Canis lupus familiaris: one gene and its partners. The protein of the gene in region 3 interacts with the protein of the main gene of each other region in a pairwise test. Links are inferred from orthologs where the notes say so. Each region holds a gene or a part of one and is shown on either strand. Other genes may lie near its edges.

Region 1 (4,175 bases), about 20 Mb from region 3:
CCACCCAGGGATCCCAGGAAACAAGTTTCTATACCATTTCTGAGCCAGATGTCTCCTGCTTTGTGGCACCAGGGCCCCCTAGGACGTGTTTATTAACATGGCTACCCTGAGGCCACGTCACCCAACCAAAAGAATACTGTATGCTGCACCTAGGTCCCCAGTGCCCACCACTCTCACTCGGCCTACAGCTTAGGAGCCAGGAGACAGTATCCCTGCTCCTCCAGGGAAACTGCTTTTCTCTATGAGGACCTACAGGTACAAGAACTGCCCAACTGAAGTGCTCCCCCAATCTGAGAAAAGAGGTGTAAGGATCCCCAGACAGGAGAAGGCGTGCTTTGTTTTCTTCCTTGCTACCTAGGGCCTGTGATTAGAGGTATTAGCCATCTCCACCAAAAACAGAGCCAAGAGCCCATATGATCAGCAGCTGCCCCCCACAAAGGAGTCCCGCTGCCTGGAGGTGCCTCTCAGGGAGCGCCAGGTGACCAAGCAGTCCCTCACTTCCTTAGCCCTTAACTTCCAAGGGTCTTACCCAGCCAATCTCACCTCAGTTAAAAGACTTCTGGTGAATTGATAAGGTGCCATGTGCCCCACTTTACATGGTCTGATAGGCCTAGACAGGGGCTGTGAGAGGCACCAACCTTTCCTGAATTCACAGACAGGGCCGCCTTCACCTGTGCATATACACATAGGCCCACATGTGCAGGTGTGCACACTTCAGCCTTATTAAGCTCTCTGCTACCTTCCTTCTCTGGAACAGACTCCTGAATTGCTCTCTTTGCCCTGGTTTTTGGTTTTCTGTAAAAAAAAAAAAAAAAAAACTGAACTTCTCCAGATCTGAGTGGCATTTAACACCATAGGTCTAAAAGCCTCACACTCACAAGCTAATTGAAGGCAGCCACCTCCCCCAGGGCCTCCCCCCTCCTGAGGCCCCAGACACTCAGGCAAGCCAGAGAAAAGCCTTGGAGAAGGATACAGCACCCTGCCTGAGGGTTGGTGGGGAGGAGACATGGCTATTTTGAATCTGTTGGAATTAAATAGCTGCCTGCTTATTTTTAGCAGGTCCATTTGCCCGGGAATAGATGCACGCTGGCTGGTTGCCCAGTGGTCACACAGAGCTGAAGGCAGGCACGTGCCGTGGCCCCACAAGGCCTTGAGGTTTACCTGCTCTGTCTGAGTTCTAAAAGGATTCCTTTCCTTTCTCCCAGAGGAACCTGCAGCTTCTCAGAAAAGCTTACCTCTGGAGAAGTAATGGCCTCACTCCCAGCACCGATGACCAGCCCAGTTACTGCAGTCTAGAGCCTTCTGCTAAACAAGAAAACAAATTTCTGGGAACAGTACAAACAGTGTTGGTCCCAGTGACTAAGCCCATTTGGCTGCAATTATTGTGGGAAAAAAGAGCTGCATGTAATTAATTGATGGGAAAGTTGATCATAAAAACAAGCACTTAGTAGCCAAGTGGCCATCAAGTCCACTGCGGACTTAGGCCTGGTCAGTGAAGTCACATCCACTCAGCATTCTGAATGGACTTTTCTATACCACCCCATCCCCACACCCCACACTCCTGGCAAGTTGAAATTTGAACATTTCCAATATTCCAGGGTTATGTGTTCACATTCCCAAAGACTGGCCCCTGGTGTTCAAGACACTCCATCTCTAGAATGCCCAGGACGTCAAGTTGTTCAGGGGCTTTTCCCCCTGAAGGGGGTCTTCAAAGGACAGGAACAGCTAACATGATCCAAGACCTGAAGCCCAGTATTTCCTACCACTGCATTCAGAGAACAGCAGGCTATGGGCCAGGTCAAGGTCCCCCCTCCCTTCTTCCATCCCATCCCCTCAACCCGCCCCACCAGTCTACTGAAGGAAGACCACAGAGGTCTGTGCAAGACCACAGAAGGGCCTCTTAGTTTCATAGGATGCTTTTACCTGATTCCTCATCAGGTTGAGGTTACGCACATACGTTCACTCACGTAATAATTCACACATAAATACGCTTAAGTTGCTGCAAGAAAAAGATTCTGTCCACCAGAAGCTCACAATGTGTACTGAATAATCTGTGTGTCTCTCACACACAGACCTGCACCAAACTGAGCCCAATATCAGAAGTAGGCAACAGAATCCAACTGCCTCAAAGGCACCAAGAATTTGCTCAGGTTGCAATGGTGGGTTAAAGACGTAAATTAAGGTTCTAAACCCAAGATGCCTTTGCGGGTGGAAGGGAGCAGCAAGTCCCAGACCAGAACAAGTCCTGGGAGTGAAGCTGAAGAGCTGGTAGGAGGCCAGATAAAAGGAGTTTGACCTTTACTGTCAAGGCAATGGGAACAAGTGGCAGCAACTGAAACATAGCCAAAGCAGAGCAGGTCACAAGAGGTAAAGGCCAGGGTGATCTCCAAGTGGCGACTACAGTCCAATATTGGCAACTACTTAGTCACAGGGGGCTAACTTGAAATGTGACCAGTGAAACTGAGAAACTGAATTTATATTTTATTTAATATTAATTGAAATAGCTACATAATGCTAGTGGCTACCTAAAGGATAGTATAGTCCTAGAGGGCCTTCCCAGCAGACCAGAAACAAACATAAGACCTAGATAAATGCTGTACAGCCAATGCCTACCTTGTTGGGTGGTATCTGGTGCTGCCACTGAGGGTGGGGGATGGTGGTAAGCTGGGCAATTCACCCTCAGCATGGCTGGGGCCCAGGAATCAGAGTGCTGGAGCCATGCCTCAGGGACGTTGGTCTCAGCCCAGCCCTGATGTTCAAACAGTTGTTACCTTCATCCATAGGGGGCCTGTGTGGGCTGTGACTCATGTTGGCACCCTAAAGATTCCAAATTAGCTCACAATGGGGCTGTGAAGTCCTCCCCATACTGTCCCCACATCCTTCATTGTGATGGCCCCACAGAGCAGCCAGGTGAGGCACCGTGGCCAGCCCATCCCCACTCCCGGTTAGGTAGATCAGCTGTCCAAAAGTCATAGAACGCTTCCCAGGCTCTTCTCCAGGAGACTGAGGGCTTAACCCAGTACCATCAGGGTGTGAGTACCTGCTCGGTGAAGTCTTCTCCAGGCAAAATGGAGACCCAGAGTCCAATCCCAGGAGCTCCAGGTAAGAAGAACCAGAAACAAAAAATCCCATCTCTGGACATGGTCTCAAATTAAGAATTGTTTCTCCTCTAATTCAATTACAAATTAAACTTCCAGTTTGGAAAACTTGGTAAAAAAGAGAACCCCCCACACAAAGGTGAAATGCCCAGTCTCCCTTGTTCTGCTGACCAAACACTGGGCAGGTCCAGTCTCATTAAGTTATAAAGAACAAGGCTGGGGGGGGCGGGGTGAGGGGTGGGAATCAGCATTTTCTACAAAGGTCTTCCCATTGCTTCAGTTAGGGAGTAGGAATGAGGTTTTCAAAAACCTTAATAAAAACCATGTCACATCCATCCCCAGCTCTTGGCAACCACATTGTTTTACCAGTAAATTCTGACAAATCTCTGAGGATAGTGATAAAGCAGGTACCAGGGAAGTGTTTCTAGGTACACAGAGTTTCCATCCATGACCACAGAACACTACTCATGACTGCCCAAAAGATAGGAAGTTGTGCTCTGTCAAAAAGCTTACCCAAAAAAGCTAATAAAGGTGACACATGCCTTCAGGAGAAATTAGAAGATGGTGTGAGGCAAGCAGCCCTTCACACCATCACCTCAGGTGGGCAGATCAACAGGTGAGATGCTGATTTTCCAAATGGCAGATGGTAGAATATGACCAACCCAAAAGTCACATAAAGGCCTAATGTCATTCCTATCCAACAAATACTTATGGACACCTATAGGGTACAAAGCACAGCAGGACACAGAAATGAATCAGAACGTACTTTCGAGGCACTTTCAAGTCTCACAATTTCTTTTTTTTTTTTTAAGATTTTATTCATTTATTCATGAGAGACAGACAGACAGAGAGAGAGAGGCAGAGACACAGGCAGAGGGAGAAGCAGGCTCCATGCAGGGAGCTCAATGTGGGACTCAATCCTGGAACTGCAGGATCTCACCCTGAGCCGAAGGCCGATGCCCACACTGAGCCACCCATGTGTCCCAATCAGTTTCTTTTTTTGGGGGGAAAAAAAAAACAATGACCTTCCTCAATGGGCTGTTGGTGCCACCCTTAGCCACTGACCAAGTGACAATT
Region 2 (2,991 bases), on a different chromosome or scaffold from region 3:
TTACTCCTTTTGCTTGAAGTACCCTTCTCTGTCCCCACACCTGTCCGTATGTGTAGTCCCCACTTACCCGCTGAACAGTTCCGCTCTAGAAAAGCCTCCCCTGACCATCCAGTCTGAATAGCTTCCCAGCTAGTTTTTGTAAATCATTTTTAAAAATCGTAACATTGACTTACTATTTGGTTCTCAATTTTGTTTTCTGTTTCACTCCTGACCAACTAGGGTGTAAAACTTGAGGAACAGGGACCTTGCTCATGTTGTATATTTTTTCCCTGCACTTAGATCAGTGCCTAACAGAGTGAATACTTGTTGGATGTTTAAAGATAGCGTAAAGTGTGAAAAATTATCCATGATTGTACTTCTCAAAGGTAAATAACAGTTGTTGACACCATGGTATATACTTTTTTAATTTTATTTTCTGTGTGTATGCTTACGTGTTTGTTCACAAGTGTCTGTGATTACGCGTTTATACTATATTTCATTGAATCTAAAGATGAACATGGTTTAGTATATTTTATGTCTCTGAAATTGAGATGTCATATAATCAGAGGTATGCCGTGAGGTAACTAGCAGCCTTTCTCATTTCCAGTGGCACATAAAATGAAGATGTGTCTTAAGGTCTGTAGCATCTTAGATTTGATGAAATGCGATATATATTTGAAACAAATGAGATTATGATGTTCCACTCTTTCCACGCCTAAATATCTTGACCATTTTCCCATATCACTATATTTAGATCTATCTCATTATTCCCAGGTATCTAGCATATTATGGGTTATCATAAATTGTCCAACCAGTTCCTCATGGTAGACATTTGGAGCTTTTCCAGTTTTGTGTGTGTGTGTGTGTGTGTTGTAAACCGTGCTGTGTTGGACATCCTTGTGCACGTCTTCATACACTCAACTGGAATTTCTTTTGATAAAACACCTAGATCAGTGAGTACCCGTATCTTCCGTAGTGTATAAGGGCACCATTTCCCTGTATCCTCAGTAGTACTGCGCCTGAGGAAATTTTAAAAACTTTTGTTAATCTCGTAAGTGAAAAAAATATCCTAATGTCATATTATCATTTCTTGGGTTATGAGTGGGATTGAGCCTCTTTTTGTGTTTATGGACTGTTTTTATTTCTTCTTCCATGATGCACAGTGTGTAGGACAGTAAACCTTTAATTGGCTGGCATGTTTGGTGTAATTAGAAAAAGAGTCATAGTTTGGAGCCCTGTATTATCATATAATTTCTTGGGAACAGCTTTCAGGATAGAGCCTACCCTTGTGGGGAGCAAAGGGGCTTTATAAGGACCCATGATTAGAGGAGACAAATTCAGGAATAATCAGAATCTTTATAGTGGAGGCCAGAAAAGGGTACAGTATCATCAGTTTGTGAGTTGAATACTGGAATTTAGACTATGCTGTTAGACTTTAAATGTTCCTCTTCTCTTTAATATGACTTAGTTGTGGTAGTATTAGGTTAGTAGGTCTGAAATAGGACACAACTCAAGGACTTGAATGAAGTCACTGTTGAATCTAATGATTAAATCTGTGACCATTTAAGAGTAGATTCATAGGAGTTTTTTACACAATGCCAAAACGTTGTCAACAATTTTGAACACCTTTGCTGTGCCGGCGGGGGGGGGGGGGGGGAGGGTCAGTTTCAAAGGTAGATTGCAGATGGTCTATCTTGTAGGTTCCATTGCAGCCTTTAAAGGAGACAGATTTCAATCCTTTGGTAAGAATGAAGCCAGAAGGTATATGGAATGTGAAGAGCACAGAGGAAGGTGTTTAGTCTAAATGAATTTAAAAGAGGGTCACCTGGGGGGCTCAGTGGTTGAGCATCTGCCTTCGGCTCAGGGCGTGACCCCAGGGTCCTGGGATCGAGTCCCACATCGGGCTCCGCGCAGGGAGCCTGCTTCTCCCTCTGCCTGTGTCTCTGCCTCTCTCTGTGTCTCTCATGAATAAACAAAATCTTTAATAAGTAAATAAATATGTTTAAAGGAGACTCCTGGCTTTGATACACTCAACTGGAAGTGAGTTAGTCGATAACCTAAACTGAGTCCTAAAGGATCAATAAGAGTTAACTGTGAGTATCAAGTAGTAAAGGATACGACAGCATGAGAGAAGGCATGTGTAGATGAAGTGGACTGTGAGGAGTAGAGTTTTCTTAGAACATAAAGTTTGAGCTGAAGAGTGACTTGATGAGTCTGGGAAGGTAAGCAAGAACCAGATAACGAACAGCCTAGTGTGCCATGCTTGAAAATCTGCATTTTGTAGGTCAAGGAGAGTTCTTTTGAATAATGACATGGTGAGATTTGCATTTGAGAAATCACTGCCTGAAGACTGATTTAGGGGGCAAGACCAAAGACACATTGGCAAATAGTTCTGGTAATCCAGGTGAGAGGATTAAGGCTTTAGCTCATTGGGAATAGCTTACCAGAAAAAATTCTTAATTTCTCTTAGTTTTTACAGAATTTTGCCCTCTTCTTCAGAATCCCTCTGAGATTAAATTTCATGGAACTGAGATTATTATTTTGCAGAAAAGACTTATATTCGTTGTCCAGTTGTTTATTCCTTTATGTCTGTAAGAAGTTTATGCTTTTATTAATATCTACTTAACTAGTATAGTGCTATATGGATTTTTGGACTAGTAAGATTTTTGATGATTATAAAAGCAGGACATGTTAACCCTTTTGGTACGCTTGGTGATTATCTTGGTAACCATTTGGGAGCATTTGCCTTTGAGTAAAAGTAAAGATTTGTTAGATTAAATTTAGGTTATATAATTTTTAACTTACATGAATTCATAACTTTTATGTGCTAATTTCTTTCTTTCTTTCTTTCTTTTTTAAAGGCTATCAGCAAAAGATGGTGGATCGCTTGGCAAACAGTGAAGCAAATACTAGACGTATAAATATAGTAGAAAACTGTTTTGGAGCAGCTGGTCAACCCTTAACTATACCTGGAAGGGTTCTTATTGGAGAAGGAGTATTGACTAAGTTGTG
Region 3 (4,010 bases):
GTTTATTAGGCCTTCTTTGTGCCCACGGGGGTGAAATCCTATATGACTGAAGCTCTGTGTTTAATCCCCCATTCCACCCATCCTGGCCAAAGGCCAGTGGTCACCAAGTGGGGGCAGGGGGTAGGAGGAAACTCCCTTCTACATTTCACTCCTGTAGGCCTAATCCGCCCTTTCTGATGGTGCCTATGCTGCCTCTGACTTTCTGAAAGCGGGAGTAACCATAACTGAATAAAAGAAATATTCTGATGAGCAGGGCCCTTATCAGCCTGGTGGATTTAGGGGAGCAGATGGCTGCTTAGGGCAGTGCTGTCCCACAGAAATGTAACATAGGCTGTATAGCAAACGAACATTTTTCTAATACCTGTATTTAAAAGGCAAAAAAACAAAACAAAACAAAACAAAACAAAAAACCACTCACACACACGGAGAAATAAGTAAAAAGAAAAAGGCAAAGATGAAATTCATTTTAATAATATTTAACCTACTATTACCGAAAGATTATCATTTAAATCCCCTGTATTTTGCACATACAGCCCTAGAGCCATCTACCGCGTGTCCTCCGAGGGCCTACTTTATTGATTTCGCGACCTTATAGGCTAAACCGGTCACCTGCTCCCCCTTTCTTCCTCTACGGACAAATACCCCGATTGGGAGAAAAAAAAAAAAAAAAAAAGGCCGGAGCAGTAAAGGAGCCTCCTTTTCTCCCCGCCTGGAATCCGATTCATCCTCGATGAGTGCTTTTTGCAGGCAGCTGAGATTTGCCGTGCGGGCGGGCTCTGTGCATGTCACCGGGCCGGGTCAGGCACTGCAGGTTCTAGAAGCACCCCGGCCAGTCCCCCCAGAGGCTCGGGCCCGCGGGGCTGGACCCCGGAGGGGAGCGCGGCCCGAGCAGCGGGGCACACACTTGGCAGGGCTCGGATTTCCTGCGCCGGATGGCGGGCCCAGCCCGGAGGCCCGCGCGGAGACGGCGGGGCACAGGATGCGCGGCCGGGAGTGCGCATCCTGGGCACCCGCCCGCGCTCGGCCGCCGCACAGCTGCCGCAGATCCGCCGCGGCCGCCGCCTCCTCCGGGGCCTGGAAGCCGCAGGAGTCTCCCCGCCCCGGGCCCGCGGCCTCCCCCGGCGGGGGCCACGGGGCGGAGTCGCCCACCTGTCATCCGAGACGCCCCACGTGGGTCCGCCCGGCCGCGGGGGGGGGTGGGGTAGAAAAGGGAGGGAGAAAAGGCAGAGGCGGCGAGGGAGGAGAGGAGGCGAGGGGCCGAGGAGAGAGGGGAGCTCCCGAGAGCCGCGCCGAGAGCCGGGGAAAGAGCAGGAGGAGGAGGCAGGGGGACCTGCGGCATCCAGGTAGAGCAGACAGGTAAGGGGCGGGCGGGGGGTGCAGGTGGACGGAAGGACGGGAGCGCCGGGCTGGAGAGCTGCGGAAAGGATGAGAGGCGGGCGAGACGGCAGGGCTGCCAGTGAGGGACCAGGTGAGGCGGAAAGGAGAGCAGGAGAACGATTCTAGGGCGCGGAGGGGCGAGGGTCCTTCTAGGAGAGGCGGGAGGGGAAGCCGGGCCGCAGCGCCTTTAAGGTTGCCAAGGCGACGGCTCTGGCCAGAGCGAGGCGCATTGACGTCAGCAGCCGCGCGCTGATTGGCCGCGGCCGGGTCGTTTCCGGTGGAGCCGCCGCGGAGCCGCTATCGCGGAGTAGAGCCGGGCCAGGAGGGGAGCGCCGGGAGAGCTCAGCTAGCCGCAGCCTCGCACCCGCCGCCCCGCGTCCGCCGCCGCCCGTCCCCAGGTGAGTGGGGTCGGCTGGGAGCCCCGGCGCGCCCCGCCTCGCCGCCCCGCCGCCCGTGTGGGGGCGCTGGACCGATCCAAGATGGCGTCACGGGGAGCGACCTGCAGGGGGACGGCCGCACCCCCTGCCCCTCCCGGGCCTCGGCGGACGCCTCCCCGCGGGCCTCGCGCCGCGAGCCGCGCCCCCGGCCCCGGCCCCGGCCCCGAGCTGCTCCGGCGCGGAGCTCAGCGGCCGCCGCGGCCCCCGGCCCCCCGCCCCCCGCGGCCGTCGCGCCCCCGCCGCCTCCGCCGCCTCCGCACCCGCGCGCCGCGGCCGCCTCGCTCGCCCTCCCCCGTTTCCTGAAGGACAGCGGCTCGATTTTACTGGAATCCGCCAGTCGTTTGCCCCTGCGTTTCGGGCTGATCTGGAGACTCGGCAGTCGGCGTTTTCCCCTTTCTAGTGTCTCCTTGTCATCTCCAGCGGGGGCTTCCTCTCCTCCCTGGGAGCCCACCCCGCCCCCCCCCCCCCCCCCCCCCCCACTCCCAGCGGGATTCTGGCCCGGCTTCTAAATTCCGTTTTTGTCCCCCTTTTCACCTAGCCTTTCCCGATCCCCTCCCCGCCCCCCTGGTTCCCCGGTTCCCCTGCAATTCACCACCCTTGTGGCCTCCCGACCAGAGGAGGATGAAGGAAGGACAGGCCTCCCTTCTTCATTTTGTAGCCGTCACGGCGGCGCGAGCCAAGTGAAGGGCACGCTCCTGCCCTTCCTCTCGACAGAAAGGGAGTACGTGGTCCCCGTTAGCCCCCGCAGCGCGGCGCAGCGCAGGTGTGACGCCCGGCGACTCCCCGGCGGAGAGGACCCAGAGGAGGTGTTCCCCGCGGGTCTCGGGGGCTGCGGTCTGAATCAGCAGGTTTCCCGGCAGCGCGTTCTGTTACCTCCCCGCGAGCGAGCCTCGCGAAACGGAATTTCGTTATGGCAGTTGAGTTTCCAAAAAAGAAAGAATCTTGAGTGTTTTCTGATGGGTCGCTAGGAGTGCAGTGAAAAGTTTCAAAGTAGGTGAATAATTTTTGGGCTGGGGGGGCGGGAGGGGGGCGGGGAGGGAGAAGCCAAACTGTCGGGCTCTCTAGTTTTAAGGACAGGTAGGGAGTTAACCTTGGTCTACCCCATTAAAGGCATGAAGACTTAGGTTTGGGTTTGAGGGGGTTCAGTGATGACGTTAGTCTTGGAGGGTCCTTGTTAGTGTGCTGCTTCGACAGCACTGGTGTGTGCTTTCTGATAGTGTTTGAGACAGGAAGCCCGTTTCACTTCTTAGACCCGGTTTTTTCATTTCTACCAGCCAAAGATCTGATCTTTGATTTCTTTGACCAGTGGAGTACATGTATTGATGATATTCGTGAAATATCACCGAGTATTTTGAAGCATAAAGGATCTGATTTTATCATTATTCTTGGTGGCCTTTCGTATTATTTTACATGCAGAAAATTCTGCCGAAGTGGATTATCGGTTCATGGGATTGTCTGACCTGCCAAAGTGCCTGGTATAAATCCAAAGCAAACTACCCCTCCCCCCATTTTTTGAATGTATATTTCTGAAGTAGCAGTAGCAAGATTCTTTTTTTTTTTTTTTTTTTCCTGTGGCTTTTAATTTATGTGCTTGTCAGGGAGCGACAAACTTTCTCATGGTCTGTTAGTCTGCTTGATGTTGACCTTTGTCATGAAAGTTGTCAAAACAAAATGACTAACAGTGTAGCATTTGGCTCTTGATTTTGGTATCTTTTTTTCTTCCAAACTTACAGTTTCATCTCTGATTTTGTGTGCATTTTATTTGGGAAAAAAAAAACTGATTTGTATTGAATCCAGTTGGGGAGAGAGAGGGCCTCACTTTTATTTTCTTATCTTAATTGCTTAATAATTAGAAGTCAGGAGGAAAATAATTTATGACTGTCGTTAAATTATTAAGCTTTTAATTCCTAGGTAAAGTCAGCTGCTCACTCTAATATTTCTACTTATTTTACTTTATATCAAGGTAGTTGGAATCCTCTCAGGTTCATTTAATGCAGTTTTATCTCTTGAATCTTCATGTAAGTTTAAAATTTAACCTGTTCTAGCATTTTTTTCCTGTCCGGCCAAAGAGAGTGTTTGACATTTACTTGTCCAAATCTTTTTTGATTTAATTGGTAAGGTGGTTTTTTTTGTTTTTTTCCCTGCAGAATTTTTTTCTCTGACTGGCGTGTTCTGTTAGTGTGTGCTGTTATTTAG
Region 4 (3,968 bases), on a different chromosome or scaffold from region 3:
TACGTATTTTTAAATGTATACATGTAGGTACGTGCACACACATATATTCCTGACATGAATTATATTTTTTGGTCATGATGTGTCTCTCTCTATATATATTTTATTTTAAGGACAAACACGAAAGACTCGGGAGGCTTGTTACTGCTTCCGCAAGTGCCTGCCGTGCTAACCCACACTGGTCTTGAAAGACTTACTCTCTCCCAACACTTAGCGAGCTCCCCGGGGTTGGACAGGCGCTGGCATCCTCGGCGGGTCCGAACCATGCAAAGCCCCGGCAGCTGCCCTTGCAGCGCTCGGCGGTTAAGGCAGGGTCCCTGGGCGGCCTCCTAGCCAGCCAGTGCCCTGCTCAGCGACCCCACCGCCACCGCAGGACTCAGGTTTCACTCCGGGGTGCAGAGGAGCAGGCGACAGACACAGATCCCAACGCGGGCTCTTTGTTTTGTTTGCACAGTAGACATTCCCACGAGGTCCCTGTCACCGGGCAGCTCTCGCGCATCACTCAGGGGCCTGCTCGGGGGGGGGGGGGGGGGGGGGGGGGGGGGGGGGGGGGGCGGTCACGGCCTACCACCGAGAAAGGTCGCTTCCTGTAACTTTGAGTTGGTTACTGAATCTCTCCCCTTCTTGGTTCTCTTCAGTTAAATGTGCAGGAAATTTAAAACTAGAAGAAACCTTTTTTTTCTTTTTAAATTTTATTTATTTATTCATGAGAGACACAGAGAGAGGCAGAGACACAGGCAGAGGGAGAAGCAGGCTCCCTGCAGGGAGCCCGACGTGGGACTCGATCCCGGGACCCCAGGGTCACAGCCTGGGCTAAAGGCAGGCACTCAGCTGCTGAGCCCCTGGGGACCCCAGAAAGGAGCCTATTTTAAGGATTAGTGGCTAAGATCGTGAATTCTGGAACTGGTGTGTCTGAGTTTGAGTCCCAACACTGCCTCTACTGTGCGACCTCGGGCAAGTTATTTAGCTCCTGTGCCCTGACTCCTCGCTGGGAAAATAGGGCTCGTGAGCACATGTAGTGCTCGAGGTTCTGTGGGTGACCGAACGCAACACACGCAGGTATTTAGGTTGGGTTCAGTGCAGAGTAAGGCCTGTACGAGTATCAGGGCTCATTATGACTTAGGGTTCTTGACTGACTACATTCTAGAACATACGGGGATGCCAGCTGACATGTTCCTGAGAGATGCTATAGCAGCGGCTTTCTATGGTGTAAGTCTGAGGAAGAGGGGAGAGCTCCAGGCAGGAAGCAGGAACTTAGAAGAGTTTTAGGGGATGATTAGACACGAAAAGCATTAAGGGCAGTTCAGATGAACCAGGTTTAGAGGCAGGAATGAATATTTAGAGAGGAGCAGAGGGAAGCAGGGAGCCAAGCCGGCTGGTGCCAGGAATTGGGAAGAGGGCACGGGGTGACTGGAGCCACCTTATTAGGTGGTGAGGGGGTAAGAGTGGATCTTCCTAATTTCAGACTGAAAAATGGGAGGGAGGGAGGGAGGGAGGGAGGGAGAGAGAGAGAATGGACTGGCAAATAGAATAAAGTGATGCACGGAAACATTAATAGGATGGCTCGGCGGGAGACAGAACAGAAGAAATAAGAAACAAGATCTGGTTATTAGACACGGAGAAAATCTAGGGGAGGAGGCCATCATAGCTCCAGGATTTTAAGTCTAAAGGACTGGGAATGTGAGGTCACTTTTAACAAAAATGAGGTTATTAGTAGCATGGCTGCTTGGAGGAAAAGATATGTGTGTTTTTGGATGCGTGGAGTCCAGTTGGTGGAAACCCGTCCAGTGAATGACTGGGCACATGTAGCAGAAAGAGCTTCGTTTGGGAAAAGGGCTGACCCTACTCCTACCTTTTATTTTTTGCATTACTGACCACCTTACTACCATCAACACAAACAGTAAAACCTTGGAGTTCTAGGTTCTAGGTTTATGATGTCTTTGTTTGCCTTATAGGTTTTCAAATCCTCGGAATCTGCTAAATATTTTTAAAGTAAGTTTAAGTTAAATGAATTGCAGTATTGGGTTTTTTTTTTCTTTTCTTTTCTTTTTTCTTTTTTCTTTTTTTTTTTTTTTTTTTTTTTTGTAAATCAATATAAAAACTTGAAAGACAGTGAGTCTCAGATCCATCATGCATCATGCTGCTCCCTGGACAACGTTTACACCGGCCTCCAAGGAATTAAGAACAAGTGGAATCTGTAGCTCTCAGACTCTCCTAAATACTCCTAGACCTAGAAAACAACGGTCTGATCCTCTCTGCCCGGGAAGTACGCTGGCACCGTGTAGCGGCCTCAGTAACGTTGACCCGAGTCTCTTGCCTTTAACGAAACAGGAGCAGGAAAACCGGGGAGGTGGCTTGTGTGTCATCGCAATACTGATCACTGGGTGAGAAGTGCACTTGTGAGCTAGTCCAGGGCTGCCTGGCGACTGCGAGAGGCGAGGGCCTGGGAGCCGGCCACCTTCCCGAGCCCGGGGTCCGGGGCTGCACGCTTGTGGACACACCTGTCTCGGGTTATTTGGATTCCGGCTTCAAGGTACGGCCCTCGGCAGGGGACCCTTAATACTAAACATTCTGCTTTTTAGTGATTGAGGCAACAAGCCGAATATGGCTAGTTTTGTCCCTGGTTAAATATAGCTGCACAGATGTTTGACCATAATGGAATATTCGTGTCTGCAGTCCGGGGCTTCCGGATTTTTTTTTTTAATGACTTTTTTTCCTTTTTAAAGATTTTATTTATCCATTCAGGATAGTTGCAGAGAGGAGAGAGAGAGAGGCCGAGACCCAGGCCGAGGGGGAAGCAGGCTCCTCGCAGGGAGCCCGATGCGGGGCTCGATCCTGGGGCCCGGGTCACGGCCTGGGCCAAGGCCGCCTCCGCCGCTGAGCCCCCCGTGCCCCCTTCGGTGCCCCAGGACCTTTGAGCGGTCGGCTGTCCTCCCGGAGAGCCCGCGCCGGCGCCGATGCAGGCAGCGCCCCCTGCGCCAGGGCTTGGGCCAGGCTCCGCGGCCAGCGGCTCGGGGACCCGGGAAGTGGCGGCTCTGAGCCCCGGGGTCGCGCCCCAGGGAGGGGCCTTCGGGGGGGGGGGGGACGAGCAGCTGCTCCAAGGCCCGGGAGGCCAAGGGGGCCCAGGGCCGCACAGCCCCGCACTTCCCACGGCCCGACCCCCCTGACCCCCGCCTGACCCCCCGGCCCAGGGCAGCTTCCCCGGCAGCAGGTTCCCCCCAACCCACCCCGTGCATGGCCCCTGCAGCCCCACCCCCCGCCCCCCTGCAGGCCGCACTCCCTCCCCCGCCCCCCTGCAGGCCACTCCCCCCAGCCCTCCCCCGCAGGCCGCCCCCCCCCCCGTCCCCTCTTCCCCTTCCCCTCTGCAGACCCCTCCTCCCCCCTCCTCCCTGCAGGCCGCTCCCCCCCCCCGCCCTCCCCCTGCAGACCATCCTACCTGGGGATGGGGGGAGCAGGCCCGGGCAGAGGCGGGGCGGGGGGGGGGCAGTGCCCAGGGCGGGGGGTGCCCGCCAGCCCGGGGGCGGGGGGAAGGCCTCGGACAGGACCCGGACCCGAGCGCCGAGACCACGTGAAGGACCTTCAGGTCCCTTTTAAACGCGACGAGCAGGGACTTTGAGCAAAGGGACCCTGCCGGGTCCCTGATGGGGCGCCGGGGGCTCGGGGTGAGCGCGGCCTCCGGCCCAGGCCGTGACCCCGGGTCCTGGGTTCGAGTCCCCCGTGGGGCTCCCCGCGAGGAGCCTGCTGCTCCCTCCGCCTGGGTCCCCGCGTCTCTCTCTGTGTCTCTCACGCATAAATACATGAAATCTTTAAAAAATAATAGCGACAGCTGTGTCGGGGAGGGCAAGGGCCACGTGGCGGGGCCCAGCCTGGGAGCAGCCGCTGCCTCCTCGCCCGGCACCGGGGGGCCTGCGCTCGCTACACCTCGACCAGAAAAAGGACAAAGGGCCCTCGGGGCGGGAACACGACCGACC
Region 5 (4,043 bases), on a different chromosome or scaffold from region 3:
ACAGAGCCCAACACAGGGCTCAATCTCACGACCCTGAAATCATGACCTGACTGAAATCAAGAGTCCGATTCTCAACCAACTGAGCCCTACTTACTCTACTTTCATAAAACAAGCTTCCTCTTAACATTTAAGCTGAGATTTGAATGACATCCTCTTAGAGGACTTCATTAACCGCCCAATCTAAACAGAGATGATCATCTAGACTAGGGAGTTAACGGTCAGGGATAGTGAGAAAAGACCAAATTTGATTACATTCTGGGGTAGACTTAGCAGATTTGCTGATGTAGATATAGGGTAGGAGAAAACGAGAGGTTCAAGAACGTACTAAAAAAAACCTGGAGTTAAATTTTAGGCTAACAGATGGATCTTTCGCTTACTATATCTATTATTTCTATTAATAGATATATCTATTAGGTAGAGGTATGAAATGGACCAACAGTTAGATATACCACTCCTAATTCAGGGGAGAGAATTCAAGCTGGAGATGTAAATTCAGGAGTCATCAGCGTATAGGTGGTATTTAAAAATGGTATTTAAAGACTGGATGGAATCCCTAAACAGAAGCATCTCCAGCTTCTACTCTTGCCACATTCAGTCTGCAAAAAGCTTCTACAATGATCTTTTTATAACACAAGATCAAATCATTCCTCTTTAAAAAATTTTAAGGGGTGCCTGGGTGGCTCAGTGGGTTAAGCGTCTGACTCTTTATTTCAGTTCAGGTCATGATCTCGGGGTCAAGAGACAGAGCCCCGCAGCATCTCCATGCTGAGTGTGCAGCATGCTTAAGATTCTCTCCATCTCCCTCCTCACTCATGCTCTCTTAAACAAACAAACAAACAAACAAATTATAGTGTCTCTGTATTTGGAATAAAACCTAACTATGGCCTACAAAGCTTCGAATCTTGTCTACCTCTCCAAGCCCAAAGCACATTGGCCTTCCTTTCTTTCTTGAAGGGCATCAAACTCTTTCTTGACTTACAACCTTTGAACATGCTACTCCCTGTTCCTAGAATACTCTTCCCTAACCTCTATTACCTTCTACTGATCCCTCAGCTTTAAGTTTCAAGGTCACCTGCTGAGGTCTTTCTCTAACATCAAATCAAAATATGCTTCTCCTCTCAGGTTATCTCTGTCATAACAGGTTATCAATCTGTAAATACACACAGGTACAGAAAGAAAGATTTACTGTCCGCCTGTCCCAGCAGACAATAAGCTCCATAGGTAAAGGGACATTGCCTTGTTCAGTGCTTAACAACGAGGGCCTAACACAGTGCCTGCCAAACACCAGGCATTCAAAAGTATTTGTTGAACAGAGACAACAGTCTATTATGCAACATGCAATTTGCCTCATTATACACAGAATGCTTCTTTCCTCCTTAAAAAAAAAAAAAAAAAAAAAAAAGACCAAAACAACCTATTACAACACTGTCAAACAAATTAAGAGCTATTAAATTAACTATACCCAGGTACCTTATCAACAAAGCTTCCTGTACCATTTTAAAGGTTTCCTTCACTCAGCAGTGCTTTCATTCATTCATCACAGTTTTATTCACTCACCCCATGACATCAATTACTAAAACTCACTATGTACTTAAAATGAATTCTTGAATTCATATCTGAATGGGGCCTTTAGGAATCATCTCATTCTCAGCTGAGAGAGAAGGAAAAAGTGGGTTAACACTTTTCTGTTCCAAGCGACCGTCACTAGCAGAGGAGTCATGTGAACCTAAGTCCCTGATTTATTTAGTGGGCTGCATTTTTTGTGTGTGTTTGTTTGGTACATTTTTTTCTCCAATAACAAGAATTCAAAGAACCACTATCATCCAAAAAGACCTACGCTCGTTCATTTTGGATACATATTTTTAATGAAACACAACCACCTCCTTATCCAGGATCAAAATTAAGCTGCCTCTACTCAAAAACTGGCAGCTATCCACAATTGAAAATCAGAAATATAAGTAGTTTACAAAGTGAGCTGTCCCAATAGTTAGTAGACTTGCTAAGTCATCAAAAGAGTCTTCTTCACTAGGGAACTTTTAGCAATAAGTAATGTTATTTTAGGAACTGCAGGATCCTCCTCTCCACCACCCCACCCCCAAAGAAGGGGAAACCAGAAAATGGCACTAGTTGAAGAAAACAGCTTTTTCACATGTTGCTTTTAGACATAAAAACCCTCAATATTCTGAAAAAGTCAGAGACTTCCGTAACACGGTACTAAAGGAATTTCCTTCTTTTTGATCTACAGTTGAGACACACAAGCACACAAACGCGAGAGCGGTTTTTACGCAAACAGGCATTAACTTGTACGGGCTCCGGCAAACACTTTCGGACCAGACCAGCGAGACAATTCCCCTCTGACCTCGCGCGAGGAGGCCGCCTTCTCCCTCCCTGCAGAGTCCGGGAGCAAAGCAAGGCACGCACGGGGCGTCTGTGCGGAGGCCGAGGGCCTCGCCGCCCCCCGGGGAGAAAGCCCGTGCAGGCCCACCGGCCCCACCGCCGCCCCTGAGGCCCGGCCTGGCTCCCCGCCGGAGCCCCCTCTGCTACCTTTCCGCCGGAAGAAGGACATGGCGGGGCCCGGGTCGGGGCGGAGGGCGCGGGGGGACTGTCGCGGGGAGGGCCCGGCTCCCCTCATTCAGCAACCGGCCCGGACTTCCGGGTCCGCAGCGGCCGCCGCACTAGCCTGAAAGGAGACCCTTCTTCCGGGTGTGGGCCCCACCGCCTCCTCGGGAAGCCCAGGCAGCGCCTGCCGCCATATTATCAACAAGCCGCCCGCCCGGAGTTCCGGTCCTTCCCCGCGCGAGGCTTCACGGGAGGCCGCGCCGCCAGCCCCGCCGGCCCCGCCCCCCAGCCCCGCCTCCTCTCGTGGGTGCGGGGGCACGCGCCCGGCCCGCCCACGTGACCCTGCGCGCCCGCGGCCTGTGCCCTTTCCCCGGCGCCGGGGACCTCTAGCCTGCGGTGGTGCCCCCGCGGTGGAGCGGTGCGGGCACGGCCCCCGCAAAACGGGTCCTCCCCGAGCCGCAGCCCCCCCGCGCCCCGCACCTCCGACCCCGGAGCGGGATGGCGCGGTGTTCGGGCCCGGGGCGCGCGGCCGTGGCACTCAGGGCATGCCCTTGGACAAGGCGAGGGCCGCGCTGCCTCGCTCCAGCTCAGCCCCTCCTGCTTCTCTGTCCAGTTGGGCTGAAAGGCGCTGACCCGCCAGAGGGGCTTCACCCTGCACCGCCAGGCCCAGGCGAGCAGACCACCTCCACCGCGCCTCCGGGTCGCGGGGGTACCGGGAGGTCACCGCTCCTCCAAGGGGGGAGAGGAGGCATAACCTGCTTTCTGCGGCTCCCCACGCACTCCCAATCACAATGACCTCGGCGATAAAAAAGGAGAAGTGGGCTTGTTTTCAGAACCAAATCCCTGCGAATGCTCAGGTTTGAAAGGCACAGTAACACAAGCATCCCCAGGAATTTACAAGGCAAACTCCTGAATATCCTTCAAGCTTTGTTCAAATGTCTTTTTCCAGTGAATCTTCAGGCCCTCCATTCATGACTAATGCAGAGTGAAACAAGTCTTTCCCCCAACTCAGTGTCCCTTACCACCGGTTAAGTGTGCTGATTGGGTAATAATTGTAGCCTTGTGGGTGCTCCTGTGGGGAAGGAGTCTGAAAGATAAATGTTCACCGAGGTTTTGTTTTTTTTTTAAGACTCCATTCATTCATTCATTCATTCATTCATTCATTCATGAGAGAGCAGAGACATGGGCAGAGGGAGAAGTAGGCTCCCTGCAGGGAGCCCCATATGGGACTCCATCTCAGGCCCCCAGGATCACCACCAGAGCCAAAAGCAGACATTCAACCACTAAGCTATCCAGGTGCCTCCTGAGTTGTTTGTTTTTTAATTCCTGAGTCTATCATGTGACAGTTCGGGAAACAGGACCAAAAAGAAGTCCAACTTGTCCAAGATTATGATGTGTCAGTGTTGAGACTATTAACTACAACCCAGGATCTTTTCACTGTATAATTAGAGCAACTTAATAGGGTTCTCTGGTCCTGGGCCCAT

What was found.
Region 1: the proteins of PRKAR1A (region 3) and AKAP1 interact in a two-hybrid assay, tested with the Homo sapiens proteins (2 studies listed by BioGRID and IntAct). The link is inferred for Canis lupus familiaris from reciprocal best matches to the Homo sapiens genes PRKAR1A and AKAP1.
Region 2: the proteins of PRKAR1A (region 3) and PLEKHF2 interact in binary tests that used the Homo sapiens proteins (3 or more experiments, as listed by UniProt). The two-hybrid records come from large-scale screens. The link is inferred for Canis lupus familiaris from reciprocal best matches to the Homo sapiens genes PRKAR1A and PLEKHF2.
Region 4: the proteins of PRKAR1A (region 3) and C37H2orf88 interact in binary tests that used the Homo sapiens proteins (3 or more experiments, as listed by UniProt). The two-hybrid records come from large-scale screens. The link is inferred for Canis lupus familiaris from reciprocal best matches to the Homo sapiens genes PRKAR1A and AKAP19.
Region 5: the proteins of PRKAR1A (region 3) and AKAP10 interact in a two-hybrid assay, tested with the Homo sapiens proteins (3 studies listed by BioGRID and IntAct). The link is inferred for Canis lupus familiaris from reciprocal best matches to the Homo sapiens genes PRKAR1A and AKAP10.

Annotation. Positions count from the first base shown.
Region 1 is NC_049230.1:31,842,924-31,847,098, reverse strand, and holds the start of AKAP1 (A-kinase anchor protein 1, mitochondrial), read right to left. Parts: upstream 2,802-4,175; 5' UTR 2,614-2,801; intron 1,326-2,613; exon of another isoform or gene 1,306-1,325; 5' UTR 1,236-1,305; intron 796-1,235; 5' UTR 688-795; coding exon 544-687; intron 1-543.
Region 2 is NC_049250.1:40,390,015-40,393,005, reverse strand, and holds part of PLEKHF2 (pleckstrin homology domain-containing family F member 2), read left to right. Parts: intron 1-2,840; 5' UTR 2,841-2,854; coding exon 2,855-2,991. UniProt on the Homo sapiens protein: May play a role in early endosome fusion upstream of RAB5, hence regulating receptor trafficking and fluid-phase transport. Enhances cellular sensitivity to TNF-induced apoptosis.
Region 3 is NC_049230.1:11,742,572-11,746,581, reverse strand, and holds the start of PRKAR1A (cAMP-dependent protein kinase type I-alpha regulatory subunit), read left to right. Parts: upstream 1-1,205; 5' UTR 1,206-1,356; intron 1,357-1,616; exon of another isoform or gene 1,617-1,775; intron 1,776-2,645; exon of another isoform or gene 2,646-2,804; intron 2,805-4,010. UniProt on the Homo sapiens protein: Regulatory subunit of the cAMP-dependent protein kinases involved in cAMP signaling in cells.
Region 4 is NC_049258.1:690,302-694,269, forward strand, and holds the start of C37H2orf88 (small membrane A-kinase anchor protein), read left to right. Parts: upstream 1-1,160; 5' UTR 1,161-1,206; intron 1,207-1,420; exon of another isoform or gene 1,421-1,436; intron 1,437-1,952; 5' UTR 1,953-1,989; intron 1,990-2,328; 5' UTR 2,329-2,530; intron 2,531-3,968.
Region 5 is NC_049226.1:40,468,089-40,472,131, reverse strand, and holds the start of AKAP10 (A-kinase anchor protein 10, mitochondrial), read right to left. Parts: upstream 2,809-4,043; 5' UTR 2,633-2,808; coding exon 2,545-2,632; intron 1-2,544. UniProt on the Homo sapiens protein: Differentially targeted protein that binds to type I and II regulatory subunits of protein kinase A and anchors them to the mitochondria or the plasma membrane.